Stegostoma tigrinum: one gene and its partner. The protein of the gene in region 1 purifies or fractionates together with the protein of each later gene. This does not show direct contact. Links are inferred from orthologs where the notes say so. Each region holds a gene or a part of one and is shown on either strand. Other genes may lie near its edges.

What was found.
Region 2: the proteins of stk35 (region 1) and c28h1orf174 purify together in Homo sapiens (affinity purification with mass spectrometry; 3 studies listed by BioGRID and IntAct, counting the BioPlex papers as one, with this or other methods). This does not show direct contact. The link is inferred for Stegostoma tigrinum from reciprocal best matches to the Homo sapiens genes STK35 and C1orf174.

The regions. Positions count from the first base shown.
Region 1 is NC_081372.1:35,990,085-36,000,559, forward strand, and holds the start of stk35 (serine/threonine-protein kinase 35), read left to right. Parts: upstream 1-5,780; 5' UTR 5,781-6,240; coding exon 6,241-7,347; 3' UTR 7,348-7,381; intron 7,382-10,475.
Region 2 is NC_081381.1:42,839,928-42,850,596, reverse strand, and holds the start of c28h1orf174 (UPF0688 protein C1orf174 homolog), read right to left. Parts: upstream 5,283-10,669; 5' UTR 5,142-5,282; coding exon 5,127-5,141; intron 409-5,126; coding exon 298-408; intron 1-297.

The DNA of each region.
Region 1 (10,475 bases):
TGATAAAAAAAAAAGCAGGCATGGCTAGGACCCATAAATGTTCATACAGCACCATCTTTTATTCTGCAGAAAGTGAGAGGAGTCAAAGGAGAAAGCGATTGAATGAAGAAATAAGTTTAGCCAGGTGGGGGTTGTCATTCTAAGAAGAAGTGGAGACCCCTCCCAGTGATGTAGGAAAACTGGTCACTAGAACCAAGAAACTGGAAAATATCTAATTGGTGGAAGGCAGAGGGGAAATTGCAGATATAGATAGGAGAACTGGATCCATTGCAGTAACCTTCCGTTTCTCATCCCCAATGCATTTCTGGTTGTTTGGCCCAATAATACCCAAAGTATCTTTCTCCAGACAAGTGAAGACTTGATTGCAGGCAGTACCTCCACTAAGGTTTGTTCATTTCTAGCTATTGTGAGACAGTGCTCTTGCAAGAAGAGTGGGAGAAGTTTGTATTTTTGGTTAGGTGTTGTGTAGATGTATGAGCCTGTTGCCTATTGTGTGCTGATGAGATGGAGGAGCTGGCCAGTACAAGCAGGATGGGGAAGTAGTAATGTGCAAGGAAGTGGCTCCAGATTGACATGTAAAAACAGATAGCAGAGGGAGAAAATGCTTCCAGTTGTTACGTGGTGAAAGCAGCATACTGTTTGGAGTTATTCTGAAGGTAGCTGCAACAGTTGAGTTTGATTTGGCTAAGAAAACAGGGTTGGTGCGGTGTGTCCTAGTGATTGGAGGAATGGAGGGAATTGTTATAGTCTGACGTAGAGAAAATGAAATAGGTGAGAATCATTCCCAACTTTCCGAACTAGTTATGATTATTGAATTTTCCATGACAACGCAAACTGATCTTGCATTGCTAATGTTTTTTGAATTGATTTTTTTGTACCACTTCCTTCTAGGCCTGCTGCAGCATGTCTCTGATAGCCTCCTGACATTGCAGGTGAGAGAATCATGTTATGGGGTCTCCTGTATTCCACTAAAATTGTAATCACTGCATTGCTGAACCATGGAGTTCTACCATGACACATCTTTTGGCTCATATTGTGAAACACAGCAACATAATTTGAATATATTTAAATCAAGAGGTATGAGTATACCTTAAATTGTCATCATGTCCTTTGGAAATGCATCCTGCAAATCAACGAGGCCTGAATCAAGACAGAAAATGCATTGGTTGCTGGCCTGTGAAGTTGAAAATGAGATCCTAACATCAAAATTGTTCACAGCAGGCCAAGCAGCATCTTAGGAGCACAAAAGCTGACGTTTCGGGCCTAGATGAAGGGTCTAGGCCCGATATGTCAGCTTTTGTGCTCCGAGGATGCTGCTTGGCCTGCTGTGTTCATCCAGCTCCACACTTTGTTATCTCGGATTCTCCAGCATCTGCAGTTCCCATTATCTCTGATCAAAATTGTTCAGCTGTCTAACTAATTACAGCAGGTTGGTGGCCCAATTGTCCTGCCTGATTTGTACCAGCAACTTGTGCATGCATGAAACTGATTAAATAGCATCATAACTCCATATGCCATAATCACCGAATTCGTGATCTTTTAAGACCTTTTCAGTGCCTGAATTCTGCTTTATCTTAAAACCAAATACATCCCCTAATGCATTTGAACTGACAGGACATTCTTACCCTGGGGCAAAAAGGCTGTTGCTGCAAAACCAGCTTGTCATTTTAAAACATGTCTAAACAGTTTTAACATAACTTGATTTGCCATGACAGGACAATTTGACCTCCTGCTTTTCTGAATTATCTACCTTTGAGGAATGTCAATAGAGTAAAAGTTACAACAGGTATTTTGGCAGAGGAAGAAGAACCTCCTTTAGGAAGTAACATCTGAAACATTAAAAACATTAAAAACCTGTAGTTTTGTAGGTGACTGCTACAAATGGAAACCTGTAAGATCAATAACCTGAATTCATTACAGCCTAAATTATTAGACAGACATCATAAACTGACTCTGAAAATCAATCCCAATTGTTTTTTTAAACTGCATTTATAATAGAATATTGAATTATATCCATCTCTTACATGAAATATATAACATTCCATATTGACTATTACAGATTAGATAATACTGATTTATGGATATTTAATCACTAAAATAGTTTTTCAACAATGTGACACTTCTAAATCAATACAGCACTCACGGCAGTTTTTTGTAAATAAAGCTCAAACTTGTTTATATCATTTTAATTTGGTTCTTTCAGATTATTTATCAGTCAATGAAAAGAAGATAATTACTTTGTTGAATGGGGTGAGCATCATCAAATTAATATGACCATCTAATTTTGATCTGAATTTCAAATGTCTGCTTTGAAACTTCAGAATATAAATTCTGCATTTTGATATCTTTTGATTACTGACATTTGTATTTGTAACATTGGAATGCCAGAGTACTCAATGACTGTACTTAAGTCCATGGTAAGATACAGCTGTATAGGAAGCAGAACAAAGGAAAAGTCTTTAGCTACATTTGTATCGCCAATTTGTATGGATGTAGGATGGCTTCAGTTATGCCTTGATGCAACAGTGGTGGTTTAACTCTGCAATGATCAATCAGTGTCCATCTAGAAAATGTTTAAAATAAATGGTGTGAAACGCTACCCCGGAGGCAGAATGTGGGCTGTAATTCCAGTGCTGCATAAAGCTAGTGTTTAAAATGCCCAAGCAATCTATTTTATTTCTAGGGCAGTTTATCAGTTGACAGTTTTCCCATTTAATATTCTGATATAATAAATATTCTGAAAGTCTACATTTGACCCTTTTTGAGAAATTAGATTCTGGGGAGCAAGTAAGTACAAGATATGGCCTAAGAGCTATTATAGCCATTTGATTCAGAAAGCAAGTGAGGGATTTTTGAAATATTTTCTGTACCATTTTTTTTGAAAAAGATGTTGAATTGAACTTGACGCCAATACCAAAAAAAATTAAATACAGCAATACTAGTACTATACATCTAACTATCCATTCAATGCTTGTTTTAGAAAACTGTGATTAGATGGCATTTATCACTGCTCTTACCCTTTACTTATAAGAGGGCTCACTGCTCTTATTAACATAATTTCTTACAGTATGAACTGGAATCCAGCTAGGTATAGTTGTTACAAAGGATCTGCAAGCAAATGGCTGATTGAAAATTCTTTCAATGGCCATACTTAAATAATCTTAAATTGCAACTATATTATTTGAGACAGATCATGTTTTTACACTTACTCCTCCATGTGATATTTTCATCAGCGTATTTGTATTCTATCATGCAATATTTAAAATCCTGGCATTGTAATAATATCCTCTCCATCACCAAGACTACTGCATCCAACATATTGCCAATCTCCACCACTGCCTCAGCTTGGCTGCTGCTGAAATCCTCATCCATTCCATTGATATCTCTAGACTAATCTTTTCCAATGCTCTCCTAGCCAGCTTCTAACCTTGCACACTTTGTTAACTGGAGCCCATCTACAGCTCTGCTGCCATTATGCATCTGGTTGCTGATCTAAACTAGTGTCTGGTCCAGAAATGTCTTGATTTTAACATTTTCATCCTTGTTCTCAAATATCCTTTGTTGACTGTCTTCTCCCCTCCTTATCTATATTATGCCATCCAGTTAGAAAATCCTGCAGATGTTCCCCTGACTTTGTCAAATTCTTTTCAAAGCATGTCTAAGGGTCTTGGGCCATTTCAGGCACATTAAAAGTGTTAGATAAATTCACATTACCAATACATTTATGAATTTTAAGTACAATATTATTGATGAACAGCAATAACTTTTCAAAATTACTTTCACAAAAATAAATGCAGAGTTCAGTTCCTGCTACTCTATCAGTTCTTGACTGTGACAATGTCCCTTCCTTAGATTGATATTGCACCAGTGGGCATGCAGTATGTTCTGTAAATTCCATCTGTTACTCATTGCAGTTATGTTTTTCAGTGATCTTTCCAATAACCTTTTTCCTCTGTAATGTTGGATATGCTTTAAAGTTCCAAAGGAGATGAAGGAGGAAATTTGTGAGGCTATGCCTAGAGTTATGAATGTGTCATTAAAAAAAACTGGTAACTGGAACGGTTCCTAAACATTAGAAAAATTGTAACACGCAATAATAGGACCGGTATTTAAGAAAAGCCTTTTGACTCTTTAAACCACTTCCTGTTCTTGAATTCTCTTCCTTGCATCTCATTAGATCTTAGATAACATCCTTTTGCTGCAGTATAACCAGTTTACTGTATGGTGTAACTTGATATTCTTGGATTTCCTCCTCTGGACATATCTGCAGTAGAGTAAGATGTTCACTCAATCTCATTGTAACTTTGACATATTTTTCAGGATAAATGTTGCTTTTGTCATGCAGTGCATGCTTGTGGTGAGATTCCCAAAGGATGGGATGACAACAGATATTCCAACACTACAACAAAGATAAATTAAGTGATAACTACGGCAAAACTGTGAATGCTGCTAGCTCCTGAAGATATCTGTCACTTACTTGGAAGAGACAAAGAGGAATGGACATAGTCTCTGCTGTGACATACATAAGTTAAAGTAGCAAACATGGCTGCTTAGCTCTCTAGGCTGGGACGGAAGCATCTACTATGCCCACTCCCATGATGCGAGGCTAGCACCATCAACACCCTGGGACATCCACCAGATAGTTCAAAGATGGTTGGGTAAAGGTAAAATGGGTCAGTTTCCACAATATGCAACAACTCAGAGATACTCATGGACCTCTGGAATCTTCCTCCCATCCCCTTCCTTATGACTCCACCCCCAACAGTCCCCATTAACAACTATCCACCCTCCTAGCCAGATTGTTATTAACTCCTTTGTCTATCCAACTGCTCTTTGCTCTCTTTGGGTTCTATCCCCACCTATCGTCTACTCCTTACCCCTTGCTCCTCTCTGTCTTCTGCAAATGAACTGACATTTTCTTAGCTACGATCAGTTCTGAAAAAGGGTAACCGGACCTGAAATGTTAACCTTGATTTTTCTTCATAGATGTGGCCAGACCTGCTGGCCACAAACAGCGACCTCTGTTTCTGTTCCAGTTTCCAGGCTGCGTCTCAGTGTTTTGCATCTGCATGTCACAAGCAGGGAAGGATGTCTGGGGATGATCTGAACAGGATGGGAGGGAGGAAAAATCGAGACCAAAACTAGTCTGTACCCTTTCTATGACTACCAGTCATTAATTGGGTCAAAACAGTGGGGTAAATGATGCGTCTATGGTATTATTCATAGTAATACCGCAGACACATCATTTACCCCACTGTTTTGATCCAATTAATGAATATATGGTCAATTTACTAGCTTTCAAACGACATTCAGCAGAAACTGGAAATATTGAGGACAAAATCTATAACATCCCTTCAATTTCATCTGTAACAAATTGCATTACTTGGTATACAGTTTCTTGAGACTGCACTAAGGTGAATAGCCCGTATAAGACTTCGTATGACAGAGCAGCCTGGACACACTGCAGCCTGCAGAGACTGCATTACACGGTACGTTGTCTGCACGAACTGCTGTACATTAATTAAGCGCACCGCCTGCACAGATTGCGTAATACATAACAGAGGCCTGAGCAGACTGCGATGCATAATGAAAAGTACAGCCTGCACAGGCATTGCATGGCATGACAGGGCTGCCTGTACAGACTGAGGTACATTGCAAAGACCGCGCAGACACTGCATGGCAATGACAAGCCAACTCCGTGAACCACAGTGCGGTAGATCGAGTAGACACGCAACTACGCGACAGGAAAGAGGCATGAAGGCAGCTCGGGACGTGCGCATGCGCTCGGCAAGGGCACGTGAGCACGGGGCCGGCCGTGGACTGGCCGAAAGGAAGCGTTGGGGGGAGAAGGCCCCAAACTCCCAGCAATGAATGAGTGCGCGAGCCGGCGGAGGCCCGCTACAACCAGGCGGCTCAGTTTGTCCGGCTCGGTGAGCGGCTGTGTGCTCTGATCCCGAGGAGGGCGGAAGGCTGGATGTTACCCTGGTGGAGGAGGAGAGGCCGGCAGTGAGTGAGTGCCGGGTCCTGTTCCTCTTCCCTTCTCTTTACCCCCAACCCCCCCCCTCTCCCGGGAGTGGGGCCGGGAGCTGCGGCTGCGCTGGAGCTGGAGCTCGAGCCGAGTGAAGCGGGGGCCCCGAGGCCGAGGCGGAGGCCCTGGGGGCAGAGACAGAGAGCCAGGCCCCGGCCTCTGTCGCTCAGTGATGTGGAGTGCGAGAGCCTCCCCTCAGCCAGCTGCCCACCATGGAAACTCACGACCTGCCGAGAGAAGGCACCGACTGTGAGGAGCGCCCGGCGCTGAGCGGCGGCACCACCACCACCAGTACGAACAGCCCGAGGCTCCCGGGCCTGCTGTGGGAGCCCAAGTACAGCCTGGTGCAGGAGGTGGGCCGCGGCAGTTACGGCGTGGTGTACGAGGCGGTGGTGAGGAAGAGCGGCGCCCGGGTGGCCATCAAGAAGATCCGCTGCGACGCCCCGGAGAACGTGGAGCTGGCCCTGTCCGAGTTCTGGGCTCTGACCAGCCTCAAACGGCAGCATGAGAATGTGATCCAGTTCGAGGAGTGTGTGCTGCAACGGAATGGCATGGCCCAGAAGATGAGCCACGGCAACAAGCGCTCCGAGTTCTACCTGCGCCTGGTCGAGACCTCGCTGAAGGGTGAGCGGATCCTGGGCGCCGGCGAGCCCTGCTACCTCTGGTTCGTCATGGAGTTCTGCAACGGCGGTGACCTGAACCAGTACGTGCTGTCCCGGAGGCCCGACTCGGCCGTCAACACCAGCTTCATGCTGCAGCTGACCAGCGCCATCGCCTTCCTGCATAAGAACCACATCGTCCACCGCGACCTGAAACCCGACAACATCCTCATCTCCGAGAAGTCGGGAGTCCCCATTCTCAAAGTGGCCGATTTCGGCCTCAGCAAAGTTTGTGTGGTGGGCGGAGGAGCAGCCACTAACAAAAACGTGAATGTGAACAAGTGCTGGTTGTCCTCCGCCTGTGGCTCTGACTTTTACATGGCTCCAGAGGTCTGGGAAGGACACTATACGGCCAAGGCTGACATTTTCGCTCTGGGGATCATCATATGGGCCATGATTGAACGAATAACATTTATTGATGCTGAGACTAAGAAAGAACTGCTTGGGACCTATGTTAGACAGGGCAGTGAGATTGTACCTGTAGGGGAGGCATTGCTAGAAAACCCAAAGATGGAACTACATATCCCGCAGAAAAGGAGGACTTTTATGTCTGAAGGGATCAAACAGCTTATTAAAGACATGTTGGCTGCTAATCCACAGGATCGTCCCGACGCATTTGAGTTAGAAACTAGGATGGACCAGGTCACTTGTGCTGCATAAATTATCTATTATAAAGGGGATACTCTTGTAAAAGGTATACAGACAGTAAGCAAAATATTGATATTGTGGATTCTTGGTCATATGTAATTCTATATACCACACTTGCCTTATTTAGTGTATATAGCTTCTCCTTGATTGTAAAGCATACAGTGTCAGAACGTACATGTTTTGAAAGTGTGGTCTTTTTCAAACGCTTTAACTCTGGCCCCATTTTGATTTTAATTTGCCCAATTTAAGGACATTTTTTAATTATCAAGAAAACAACCTAACATTTGCTTTGTTCGTCGGAAGAGGAAGGTGGGCATTTTTCTTAGAAAGCAACCAAACTCTGGGATGATTCTCTTGCAGCACAAACAATAGTTGATGTGTAGAAGAACCCAAAAAAGCCAGTGTACCCATTAAGTGTACTGTGTTCTTTATGTCTGGTTGGGTACTGAGAAATAATGCTAGAAAATCAAGAAGTCAAGGCAGGAGCAAATCAAATTGGTGTTAGAAATATGCTGCAATTCTCTTGGCAGTGACTCACTCAAGCCGTTCCCCACTTGCACTTCAATTAGGTCCTAGTCTTTCTCAAATACCCTAGGGTTTGGAATGTGCTAAACTATTACTTCCAATCACATTATTTGCAAATAGATGCCAGACTAGTAATGTCACTTAGACCATAATGAACATTTTACCAGCAAACAATTAAAGTTTATACATGTTATTCTGAGATTGGTGCATTGTGAATCAAATGTTCAATTAAGAGTAGAATTGAAAATATTGGATATCACTTGGCTGGTCAGGTAGTGACTGGGGAAAAGGTGACTTTTAATATTGACACAGTTCCTCAGTTGTTATGGATGATTGTTTTGCATGTAACTACTGGTCTGTAAGCTAATATAGGACGTAGTGGTTTTGATTCCTTTTGTTTTCAAACATAATGCTAATAGACGTCTTGAGAAGTTTGTGCATTGCTTTCTCACTTGGTATCAAGAAAAGCTGCTTAAATCCCCGCCACTGATGCAGTGTTCCATATTATTATCAATAAATAACAACGTATTTTAGAACTCCCTGCTCTAATTAGATACTGTCAAATTGATAACTATGCAACCTTTCTTCTGCATTTAAATTATTCTCATAATTTGGAATAGCAAATAGTTTTTCCCTGTCCTGGCTAAATGTCTTAATATTTGTGTTCTGTTGTGTTTCTGTTGCTGTTCTTAACTACTTCAGACCCACGAACTTTCCGACAAAGTAGACACAGCATTTTAATTGTTTTACGAAGATGTTTTAAGAATGTGACCCACAGTTGAAATGGAGGATTTTTTCAGGGGCATTGTGCTAAATGATAGCTTCATGCATTAGAACAATAAGCTCAGTTTTCCTCAGAACTTTGGAGTATTGTTTAGCCTGTTTCTGTTTTGGTGTATTTGAGAACTTGTGTACATTCTCTATTTAACTCAATTTTAATTTGAGGGTGGGGTGAGATTAAAAGGTGGCCGAAGCAGAATAACACAGCAAATATTGCCAATATTGAATGCAGGCAATATAGTTAAAAGTTTTAGTGTAACTCATCACAAGAAATCTGATGCAATTAAAATAAGTTAATAGTATTTGATGTATAAATTGTCTCAAATATGAAAAGGAAGTTTGGGAATAATGATGATCCATCAGATTGCTGCATTCATGCTGTAGTGAGGCGAGTGTGTTTATCCAGAATGCACTCGGCAGTTCCTACTATCTCTGTTTTCATTTTTGCAAGCACCAGTTTGACTGTTTTTATATTTTGTAGAAAGAGGAAAATGCAGATTTTTTTTTAATGGGTGAAATCTGGAAATTATGAAAGTCAATCATTTTCACACTTGTTAATTAAAGGAATTGCTTGTCTAAACCAGTTAGTGGCCCAAAAACGAACTGGTAAATATTTTGCAGTCTGGAGTGAAACTGTAGGCAGGGTTATGTACCTTTTTCAACTGAATTTGTGTATAGTTTGGGAATATTTTCATTAGTCTTGCTGACTTGTTATACTTCTGCAAGCAATATTTTCCACAAGCATGTGTTACAAATGTCCATGTAAACCGTATGATGAACATCCCATAAGAAAGTTGTTTAGTAGCAGAACTGCTGAAGATCAATTACTGTAATTGCAAACTTTACCTTTCGGCTTATGAAACATTTTGTCTTTTGGCTGTTACTGAATTTATTCTGCCAAGTTTTCTCTGGACGTGTAGAAAACTTTTTTTTTCAGATGGGGATATCCAACTTTCTTTTTACTTTCAGTTTCATTTCTTTATTTTTGAGAAGTTTGTTCTTGCACAAAATTGCACTCTGTAGCTACTAATGTAATTCTTACATGTGACCTCATGGATCAATAATATTATGCAGGCCATTTTTACTTTTTTATATAAAAAAAAGTTGAAGATGAAAGTTCAGTGAGGATATGTGTAACCTTTGTTAATACCTTGGGTAATTGAGGCTAGTTCGCAAATGGGACATTTATCTTTATCCTACCTAGCTTCATAAAGTGCAGCGGTGAATTTTACAATGATTTTGCACTGCAAGTGGTGTTAAACGTTTGAGAGCAGACCCATAATCTGGAAGACTAGAACACAGCACAGATGTAAGTAGCCTTTCTCTATGTACTACTTTCTTATGGCCAGGAATTGGGCATATATTATGTAGGACATATCCCAACAATGAAAATTCAAATTTAAAATTTTGTGGGAGAATTTAAAATCTTGACCAAAACTCAAATGAGATGCAAAAACTAGTTGTTCCATTAGTAATTAGAGATGAATAGTTGCTGTTGTTTCTGAGTTCAGCTTAAGTTAATACCTGAACCATTGATTTTTTTTGTTGCAACTTTGTAATTTTTACACTTAAGGTAACCATAGTACCACATTCGCTTTTCAGTTACGTACTGGGTAAAAAGTGACTGTACTGAGTAGAGCATTCGCAACCAAACTTATTTGTTTAGATTCACAGGAGTGTTATGGGACAAAAGTTAACAGTAAACCTGAGGAACATTTCTACTCAAGATTATTTCTTGGAAATATTAAATTTTGTGGTTCTCTATGTTTTCAAAAAATGAGAGTTGGTTACTGTAGTTTCATTTGTATTAACATTTAATGTAGCACTTAGCAGGT
Region 2 (10,669 bases), on another chromosome or scaffold:
ACCTTGTCTGTCGCTCCCCCTTTAAGCTGCCCTTTACAAAGCCTTTCAACAAACCTTTGGTTATATGTCCTGACATTCTTTGTGTGGTTTAGTGTCAAATATTATCTAATGATCCTCCAGAAAAATATCTTGGAATATTTTTATTACATTAAATATACTATATAAATAATTGAGATATTGTTGTTAGATACAATACTGTTATTATAATAAGAAGTTCCAAATTCAAAACAATTAGCTTGTGGGTATAGATCAATGCAGAAGAACAGTTAAATGGATCAACACTGTCACTTCTCTTACCGTGGTTGTTTTCTGCACTGAGCTGTCATCTTTAACATCCTGATTGGGGACATTTGAAGCTGTAGAACAGAGCTCCCTGTTCCTAATACGTGCTGATCGACGGACTCCAACCTTAAACAAGATATTTTGCAAATGTATCATAGCTAAAACAATATGTAAGCATATGTGGATACAATATATATAATATACCTTCAGAAAGTCAATCTGTGATAATATGAGATTTGAAAAGCACATCCAGATTTCTTTCTCCGCCCAATTTGACAATCATGGATCATTTGTGGATTTTAACTTTTGCAACATGCAATCATTAAACTCACCTTTATAACATTTTTGGTTGGTGCAAATTGGTCAAATTATTAAAACTTTACATGTCTAACTTTTGGCTAATGCTGTTGAGAAATAGTGTCAAATGCCACCATGGCAGATGGCGTAATTTAGATCAAATGTTTATCTCAGCGATGTTGACCATGTTATAAAAGCTCATCTGGTTCACTAAGGCCCTCTCAGGAAGGAAATCTGCCATTCTTACCTGATTTTTCCTGCATGTAATTCCCAATCTATAGTAATGTGGTTGACTCTTAACCACCCTCTGGGCAATTCAGGGTGAGTAATAAATACTGATGTAGCCAGTGATGCCCACATCCAAAGAACATACTGTTTAAAAGAGTTAACAAGTCTAAATAATTTTTCAAACTCCCATTTATTCCTATCATTTGGTGAAACAATTACAAATTGTTTTATTCCAATTTGTGATCAAGTTTAATTAAAACTTGAGATATATGAGTATATCCTAGGCAACACAGTGTGGAGCTAGAGGAACATAGTATGCCAGGCAGCATCAGAGGAGCAGGAAAGCTGATGTTTCAGGTCAGAACTTGACCCAAAATGTCAACTTTCCAACTCCTCTGATGCTGCCTGGCCTATTGTGTTCCTCCAGCTCCACACTGTGTCGTCTCTGACTCCAGCATCTGCAGTTCTTGCTTATCTCGGAGTATATCCTGTGTCCCTTCAAGTCTAAGCTATCATTCTATATGACAATATTAATCGAGAGCATTCGATGTTCACTATTTTATAATACGTCAAAACCTTTCATAGTAACTTGTAATGTGTTCATTGCCCCTCAAGCTTTTTACAAATTGTGTGCTTCTGACAAGAATGCAAACCAACCTACAAAATTTTACATTTTGTTCTATACTCTAACAAAGTCAAAGTAAAGAGTAAGATTAAAGATTTCTATGTGGCAATAGATTGATAAAGTTACAGAAGGTAATGTATGTTTAAGGCTGGTATTCTAGCTATAGCAGTGATGTAAGTGCTAAGATAAAGAAACACATTGTACCTGACTAGTTCTTGTATTAGAACAACATTGTACTTGCAAGAAGTATATACTAGCGTTGTGTTTTCAACCAGAGCTATTGCAAGGTGCTGGAGACTATCAGAGTTGATTTAGGTGGTTAAAGAATGGTCTGCAAATCAGAAACACTGGTACTGTCAGAACAAAATTTCATGAAACTGATCCTGTGTAATCAGACATGGGTGAGACAAGGCTGCCGGCTATTACCAATGCAGAAGTCAACATGAAAGAAGCATGAAATAAGTACAAAAAGGTGTCCAAGTAGTTGGTCAATTGGTGAAGGCAGTGAAATTTGTAGATATGGGAAGATGTTGGCATAGCAGTATTGCCATTGGACTAATAATCTAGAGGCCCAGGCTCCGGGATATGGGTTCAAATCCCACCAGGGCAACTGATGGAATTTAAATTAAAATAGTAAATCTGAAACTGAAAGCTAGTCCTATATAATGATGACCATGACAAATATCATCAATTGTTGTAAAACTTCCTCTGGATCAACTATCCCTTTTTGGAAAGGAAAACTGTCATCCTAACTTGGCATGTGACCTACATGTGACTACAGGCCTACAGCTACAGAGTTGACTTTAACTACACGGTGGGACAGTGGTTAGCACTGCTTCTTCACAGCGCCAGGGACCCGGGTTCAATTCCACCCTGGGGCAACTGTCTGTGTGGAGTTTGCACATTCTCCCCATGTTGCGTGGGTTTCCTTTGGGTGCTCTGGTTTCTTCCCACAGTGCAAAAATGCGCAGGCTAGGTGGATTGGCCATGCTAAAATTGCCTGTAGTGTTCAGGGATGTGTAGATTAGGTAGTTTTATAGGGGGGTGGGCATGAACTTGTTAGGCCGAAGGGCCTATTTCCACGCTGTAGGGATTCTATTCTATCCTCTTCAATAACCTTGCAAACCACTCAAATCAAGGATCAAGGATGGGCAACACTGTCCACAGGGTGCTATTGAATTGGCATCAACCGCAGCAACAAGAGATGTTGTTGCACGCTAGCATTTATACAGATCCTAAAGGTCAAAAAGCTCAAACTAGGGATATTCAACAGTACAGACAGCAGAAATATTGCTTCAGAGATAGTAGGAACTGCAGATGCTGGAGAATCTGAAGGGTCTAGGTCCAAAACGTCAGCTTTCCTGCTCCTATGATGCTGCTTGGCCTGCATGTTCATCCAGCTATACACCTTGTTATCTCTTAGAGCAGAAATATTGAACTGCTTCTGAACATTAATCATAACATAGTTAGGGCAGTTGAAAGAAATACTTTTTGTCAATCATTCTTGAAAGATGTTCCCTGGCTCAAAATGCCAATGAGCCACCTGCTGTGATCCTAAATCACAGGGCAGCTTTTAAGACGTTGATAGTGGTTGCACACATGTCAACCATTGCTTCTTTTAGCGAAGACCCACTTAATTAACTGCCACTGAGACATACTTACCAGACAGCAATGACCTTACCCGGGATCAAGGAGCAGGTTGGGAATTAGCAGCAAGAGCAAAATAGTAAGACTCAAGCACTGTGCCTTTGAATGAGGGGCCCACCCATGATTTCTGTCATATGTTCCATGCATGGTGAGCATCCTTTCCCTCTACTCAACAGTGGAAGTGGGATAAATGGCATTAGTTGCTCACTTTGGTCTCAGTTAACAGTGAAGGTGAGAAGATTATCCATTGGCTTAATCAGGGCAGAAGAGGGTAGCTGGCAGAATCCCACCAATTAATTTGGCACCCCGGCATCAAGTTTACCACAGGGAAGAGCATTAAATTCCTCCCACAAAGACCAGGTTCAGTCAAGGAAAACAGTTGGAATGCCTTACCCCACTTGAGCTGGCCTAGAGGAGGAAGTTAGAGTCCAGTGATGTCTCACTGTGAATCACTATCCATTGACACCCCCATGCACAGACTCCGCTATCAGTAGAAGGGTGGTTGAGATGGTTTTTCCAGAACGAACAGCTTGATGACAAATTTTAAATTGAACTTGCAACTTCAGTAGCGATGATGGTTGGGCTGGAGTTTGGTCAGCTGACTGCAAATGCAAAGTTGATGCAGTACAACGAACACAAATTTCCTTTCTCGGAGGAAGGGTCACCGGACCCGAAACGTTAACTGTTTTCTCCTCCACAGATGCTGCCAGACCTGCTGAGCTTTTCCAGCAACTTTTGTTTTTGTTAGTGATTTACAGCATCCGCAGTTCTCTTGGTTTTTATTGCCCCCCACTCGGAACCATTCCGAAGCACTAGCACCCCCCACCTCCCGCCGATGTGGTTGAAATTTCTGCCCGTTAACTGCCGAAACACGCACTTGACAGAATGCTTATTCGTCAAAATAGTCAAAACTGCTCGTGCTGAAGGAACTTCACCCTGGCAATGAATTAACATCCTTGAGAAAGAGTGGGCGAAAACTGTGGAGAAAGAGTGGGTAAAACGAACGAAACCGTTTAACATCAACAAAATGCCTAGACAACCGCCGACAACACAATAAATGACTTCATAGATTTAAAGCTAACTCGCCCACTCGCTGATGAAAGCCTGACAGTATCCCGCCAAAGATCCGACTGTTTACACAAAGCACCTTTATAATGACATAATCGACATTCACACAGCTATCCCTGAGCCAACCATATGGGCCAACCTTCTGACACAGGCCTGCTGAATGTTTATAAACCACTTTCTTGGTGCCAAATATAAATGGAAACAAAGTGACTGGGCCTCAAAGCTCTGAGGACCTGCGACATAAATCTGGCTGTTTAATACTTTTTCTCTTGTTGCTTCATCTTTCAAGAACATCTAGCAGCACTGTACATTGTTGTCCTACTTCACAATTTGAAATCCAGACAAATTATCTTCCACAGACACAGGAAACGGTCCTTTATTGTTTTAGTTGGGGCACATTAGCTGTCATTCGCCTCAAAAAGTGTGCACCTTCCAAAACAAAATCTCGATGCCGGTACAACATCGATCGAAAACTTCACGATTCTGTGGCATCTCTTGATTGTGACAACAGCGAGATTCATATAATAATATTACCTCCAAAACACGTTCCAGCAGTATTCTCAACAAAGCTACCCTCCCAGCTCAGTCTGTGCCATCGTAACTCAGGATTGCTATTCTAGCAGAGCCCATATCAACCTACCCTATATAGGCAGGGCCAACTGGTGGGGAAGGACACAGCCTGCATTGAACTGACTTCCTGACTCCTCTTTTGTGACTTGCCGACGACATATTTGGACCTTGTGCCGGTCGGGTTCTAAGAGGCTCTTGCAATACAAGAGACAGCAATTAACTGTTGATGTTTTAAAACTGCACCTTAAAAAAATTTCAGCGCTTGCAGGCAGGCAGTTTTTGGGAATCTCAACTTTGTGAAGACAAACACTTCAGCGCGCTCAGGCACAGGCTGCGGATCCCTTTAATAACATTCAGTAGCTAGACGGGGAAAATAGCACCTGCAAGCCGAACTCCAGTAAACTCCTACCTGCTTAGTCTTCATCTTCAGTGAAAGCGATCGTCCCAACCTGTTACAGTCACACGCTCGCCGCAAACAGGACTGTAACAAACATTTGCAACTTTCAGCGAAACTCGGTCTCCGAGACTCAACCCCACCCCACACGCCCAGACCGCTGTCTGAATGGAGGATTGTGGCCCACTCGGCGTGTCGATTGGTTTGCTAAGACGTCCATCATTCCGTATTAAATGGGCCCCGCCATCTTTGTGAAGGGCAAAATAGAAAAATGTCAAACTGTGCAGAAAGCTGACTTTGCATTGGATTAATACCTTTTGAGTACTTTTGGCAGATGAAAGTAAACCATGAGCTCTATTTGTGTAAAAGCACAGTTTGCAACGCCAGTAAAAGTGACCGACCATTACTGTACCTTCTAAATTGTTTTGCAGTTTAGCAAGTAAGGGATATGTACAATTTCTAACCAATTTGCTTATCTTCTAGCATACTCGAACTATATGGCACATATTGCTTACACAATTTATATCAAAGTCAAGAACTGTTTCATTAAATTGACCACAATATATGTCGAACAACTCTGATGAATTTTCACGCGCGCGCACAGTAACAAACAGAAATACGGTTCAAATTGCCGCACAAAATGTACCTTATTCCAGGTACTATCAGCAGTGTATCTGTCGACAATTGTTCTTATATTCCCGGAAAAATGACCAAAAATGCCATTTTGAGCACTTTTTAAGATTATAATTGTCACTGATGAATGGCATTACCTATACACAATAACATCTGGAGCTCAAGGGGCGTTCTTAAATCCTTTGTATGTTCTGCAGATTGTCAGGCACAACAATGAATTCAACCGTTTCAAATTGTAACGTCTCTAATCACGTTCATTTTTCTTTGCTGATTTGAGGTTTTTACATTTGATTTGCCTACCCGCTCTTGGTTTTGCTTTTGAGCAGCGACTGTTCATCATTCTGTCGTTCCCAAAACCTCTTGACACATCTTTTGTTTCTTTACTTGTTCCACTATCACTTCTTTGGCTTCTGACTTGAGTCGTTTATCTTTCTTTCCCTCCATCTGACCACAAACATTCCCTTATGTGCTTTTTCTCACCATCACCCCTTCAATTTGCTTCAAACTTATCCCATCTCCCACTTTTTTCTTGTACAGATGAAAGATTATTAACCCGAAACATTAACTGCTTCTTTGTCGAGATGTGCTGCCTGACTTACTGAGTATTTCCACTTTTTTTTGTTTCTATTTCAGATTTCCATATTCTCTGTGCTTTAGAAAAATCGAACTATCGAAAAATTCACTACTTTGGATATTCGGTAAATTGCAAAGTAACTTTTGTGGGGCTAAGACTTATATTATTTTTAAAACTGAAATTTATTACAGCCGTGTGTTTACTCAGTGGATTGCCATTATTTTAGAACTAATTCTCTTTCACTAAATTATCTGACCTATAAATAATATTTAGATTCTTTCCCAGGTAGGGCTGAATGGCAGCTTTATTTTTTAGTGTCTATTTATCCTTAAGTAGAGGGCAGCTTGGTGATATTGCAATTTTTTTCAAGGTTGTGCTCTTTCAGGTCATAGGGTCAGAGTCATACAGCACAAAAACAGACACTTTGGTCCAACTCGTCTATGCTGACCATAATCCCAATCTAAAATGATCCCACCTGCCTGTGCTTGGCTCATATCCCTCCAAACACTTCTTATTTATGTACTTATCTAAATGTCTTTTAAACAATGCAAACAAACCACACCCACCACTCCCTCTGAAAGTTCACTCCACACATGAACCACTTTCTGTGTAAAAAAGTTGCCCATCATGTCTTTATAAAATCTTTCTCCTCTCACCTTAACAATATGGCATCTCGTCTTGAAATCACCCAACCTAGGGAAAAGACACCTATCCATGCCCCTCATGATTTTTTAATCACCCCCAAATTCTTACACTCCAGTGAAAAAAGACCCAGTCCATCCAGCCTATTTTTATAACTCAAAGACTCTACTCCAGCAACATCCTGGTAATTTTTTTTCTGAACCATCTGCAGTTTAATAATATCCTTCCAAAAACATAACTGGACACAATACTTCAGAAGAGGCTTCATCAACTTCCTGTACATCTCAACATGATGTCCCAACTCCTATACTTTGTCTTTGTAAGATAATTTTATTAGCCACTTTTCACTGAAGCGCTATATTTAGGACATTCTTTATTGCAGGAATAAACCATTACTGATCAAACACTATGAGGTTAATTTCAGAATATGATATCAAAGCACTAACATATAACCTCACCAAGCAACTAGATTAACACTGAATTGATACTGATAATATAAGCAATCACTCAGTGTCAGTGCTGTGGTGGATACTACTGAGATGGTAATTGCTTAGTTGTGTGCCTTACAAAGAATATGTATTATCAATCAAGAGTATAGAAATGTATTGAGGAACCTCAGAGTGGAACATGAAACTGTAAAATATGTTCTGACATTTCAAATACAAACTGGTTTACCATCAGCCTGTATACCTTATGTGAACTATATGTTGTATATATTAAGATTATTACAATTATATAAAGTGAAACTCATTGTATTGCGACAAGGTGAATTTTCTCGCAAACTGTAATTTGGAGCCATGTGTTTTGTAATTTTTTCACAAATTTTAAGAATAAAATACATAATTTTGGAAACAGAACGTGATTATTGTCTGGTGTTATCTGACTTGTTTTGAACAACTGCAGATAGGCTTTTAAACATTTCTGATTTTAATTGACTCACACTACGATCAGTGGCCCTGCCTTCAACTACTAAGACCCTAAATTGTGTATCTCCCTCCCTAAGTCTTTCTGCCTATATATTGCTCTTGATTGTTTAAAGACAATACTTAAGGCCTCCCTGTTTGACCAAACATCTGATTTTGTTACTGGTTCAGTGTCAATTTTTGATTTCACAGTAGTTGCAAATTGCCTTGGGACATTTTGTTACATGAAAAGCATGAAACAAATGCAAGTTGTTGTTGTTATAGAGGGTAGGGAAAATACCGAAGAGTGATAATTTGTGCTGAACCATGAGTGCTCTTTCTTAAGGAAATCTTATTTAATGATGTATTGTGTGAGGATCTTTAGGTCATAATCAAGCAGCTAGTTCTGTCAACAACATTCACGAACACTCTCATCCCTCTGGGAATTCTACTGGGAAGTGATTAAGATTAAAGATAAGACATATTTCTTTAGTAATTTGGAATTTGTGAGCAGATGTCTGGTACTATTACGTTCATATCCAGTGTTTACGATTCAGCAGAAAGCCATTGGCATTTTCTTACTGCATTACATGCAGTATGTAATAAATATTCAGATTGATTATATAAAATAGAGGCTCTGAAACCAATTAGAAGACAGGCCTACAGTTATGATATCTTAGGTTTCCATCAGATATACTCTGCAATTCCAATGCCTATTTCCAGGTTTCCATGTTCAGAAAATTTATCTTGGTGCTCTGAAAGGGCCAGCAGTTCCAGCACAGCAGCTGTGATGGCAAAACCTAGAATTACAACCTGTTTGGAGAATTATAGACACAGATTTTCATCAGAATTTGTAAAATAACTTTGTCAGTCCTACTTAAGTTTGCAAAGAAATAAAACCAAGCACTGGGCCCATCTCTCATAATTACTGCATTGGCTATAAGGAGCTCTGGGATATTTGGTGGTTATGTAAAATGCAAGATACTTACAGGTTTTGTTTATCTTTCCCTCCAGCTCACTAAAGAAAGAAGACAAAGTGAACTGTGGGAACTACTGAGGAGCCTCCCTCCTCTCCATCACCCAAATCATTGCTAAGCACCTTCTCTCAGTCTCAGAAGAAATCTTTCCTGAAAGCCAGCATGGCTTCCAACCAAACTGTGGACCTAGGCACATGATTTTCATTGCTTGGCAATACCAAGATAAATGTCAGAAACACCACCAACCACTCTACCTGGCCTTCATCAACCTGAGCAAGACTTTTGACTCAGGCAGGAACTTTTATGGAAGATCCTGTCAAAGTTTGGCTGTCTACTGTTACTCATTACCATCCTCTGTCTCCACTATGGCTAGATGAAGGGTCTGTTTCTATGCTACATGACTCGATATTGGCAATGGTCCTCATTGACAGCAAAGGATAGAATCCTTTGAGATGAAGATAATGATTGAGCAGGGATGTGTCATCACACCCGCCGTTTCCCACCTTCATTGCCAACATCCTTTATCTTGTCAAGAACAAATTTTCCAGTGGTGTGAACATTGTCCACAGCATGGATGGAAATCTTTTCAAACTCAACCAATTGAAATCCAAGAAGAAGCTGACACTGACCTCACTTGCGGAACTTGAGCATGCGGATGACAATGTCACCTCTGGTCTCTTGGAAGAGAATTTTCAAGCTTCACTTAATGCCTTCTCAGAAGCACACTGAAGAATTTGTCTCAGGCTCAACTTTAAGAAAGCTCAAATCCTTTACCAACCCATCCCAGGTCAAGTTCTGGTCCACCCCTCTATTAAGATCAACAGAGAAATCCTCCCAAATGTGGCACATTTCCGTACCTGAGAAGCTACCTCTCATCTAAGGCTGACAATGATGTAGAGATTCAACATTACATATAATCTGCAAGTGCTGCCTTCAGACAGCTAAGGGTGAGCGTCTTCAACAACTGTGACATCCATGTTGATAACAAGATCCTTGGGCATAAGGCAGTCATCCTTCCAACTCTTCTGTATAATAAAGTGTGAAGTTGGATGAACACAGCAGGCCAAGCAGCATCTCAGGAGCACAAAAGCTGATGTTTCGGGCCTAGACCCTTCATCAACTCTTCTATATGGTTTGAAACTTGGATTATGTATACGCGCCTACCTCAAGACCCTTGAGAAATACCAATGTTATTTGAGCTGGATTCTCCACATCAGTTGAGATGACAGGCGTACTAACATCAGCATCCTTGAAGCAGCTAACAGCAACAGCACTGAGGCCACGAGCATCCAAAATTGACTCGCCTGGGCTGGCCATATGCTTAGGATGCCTGAATTCTGACTACTAAAGCAAATCTTCTTTGCCCAATCAAGGAAGGCATTCGAATGTGAGGAGGACAAAGGAAGTGTTTCATAGGATCCACGAAGGCTTCCATCATGAAATGCAACATAGATATCAATTCATAGGAGACCCTCGTTCAGAAGAAACTGGCTTGGAGAAAGCTCCTGTACGAAAGGACACAATACTTTGAAAACACCTGGCAGCAATAGCAATTACAGAAAGGAACTGGAGAAAGGAACACCAACAATCTCAAGGTCAAGGACCAATTCCATCTTCTGGAAACACCTGCCAAATGTGTGCTCAGGATGTGGCTCTCAGATTGGGCTCATCAGTCATACAAGGTCCCACAGAACACATGATCAGTGACACAGAATTTCCTAGGTGGACAAGCATACTCACTCGTGAATGATTGCCGATGACAAGAAAAACAGGTGTTCCAAGAAGAATATAGAACTTCATAATACATACAGATGTACTGTATGCAAACAG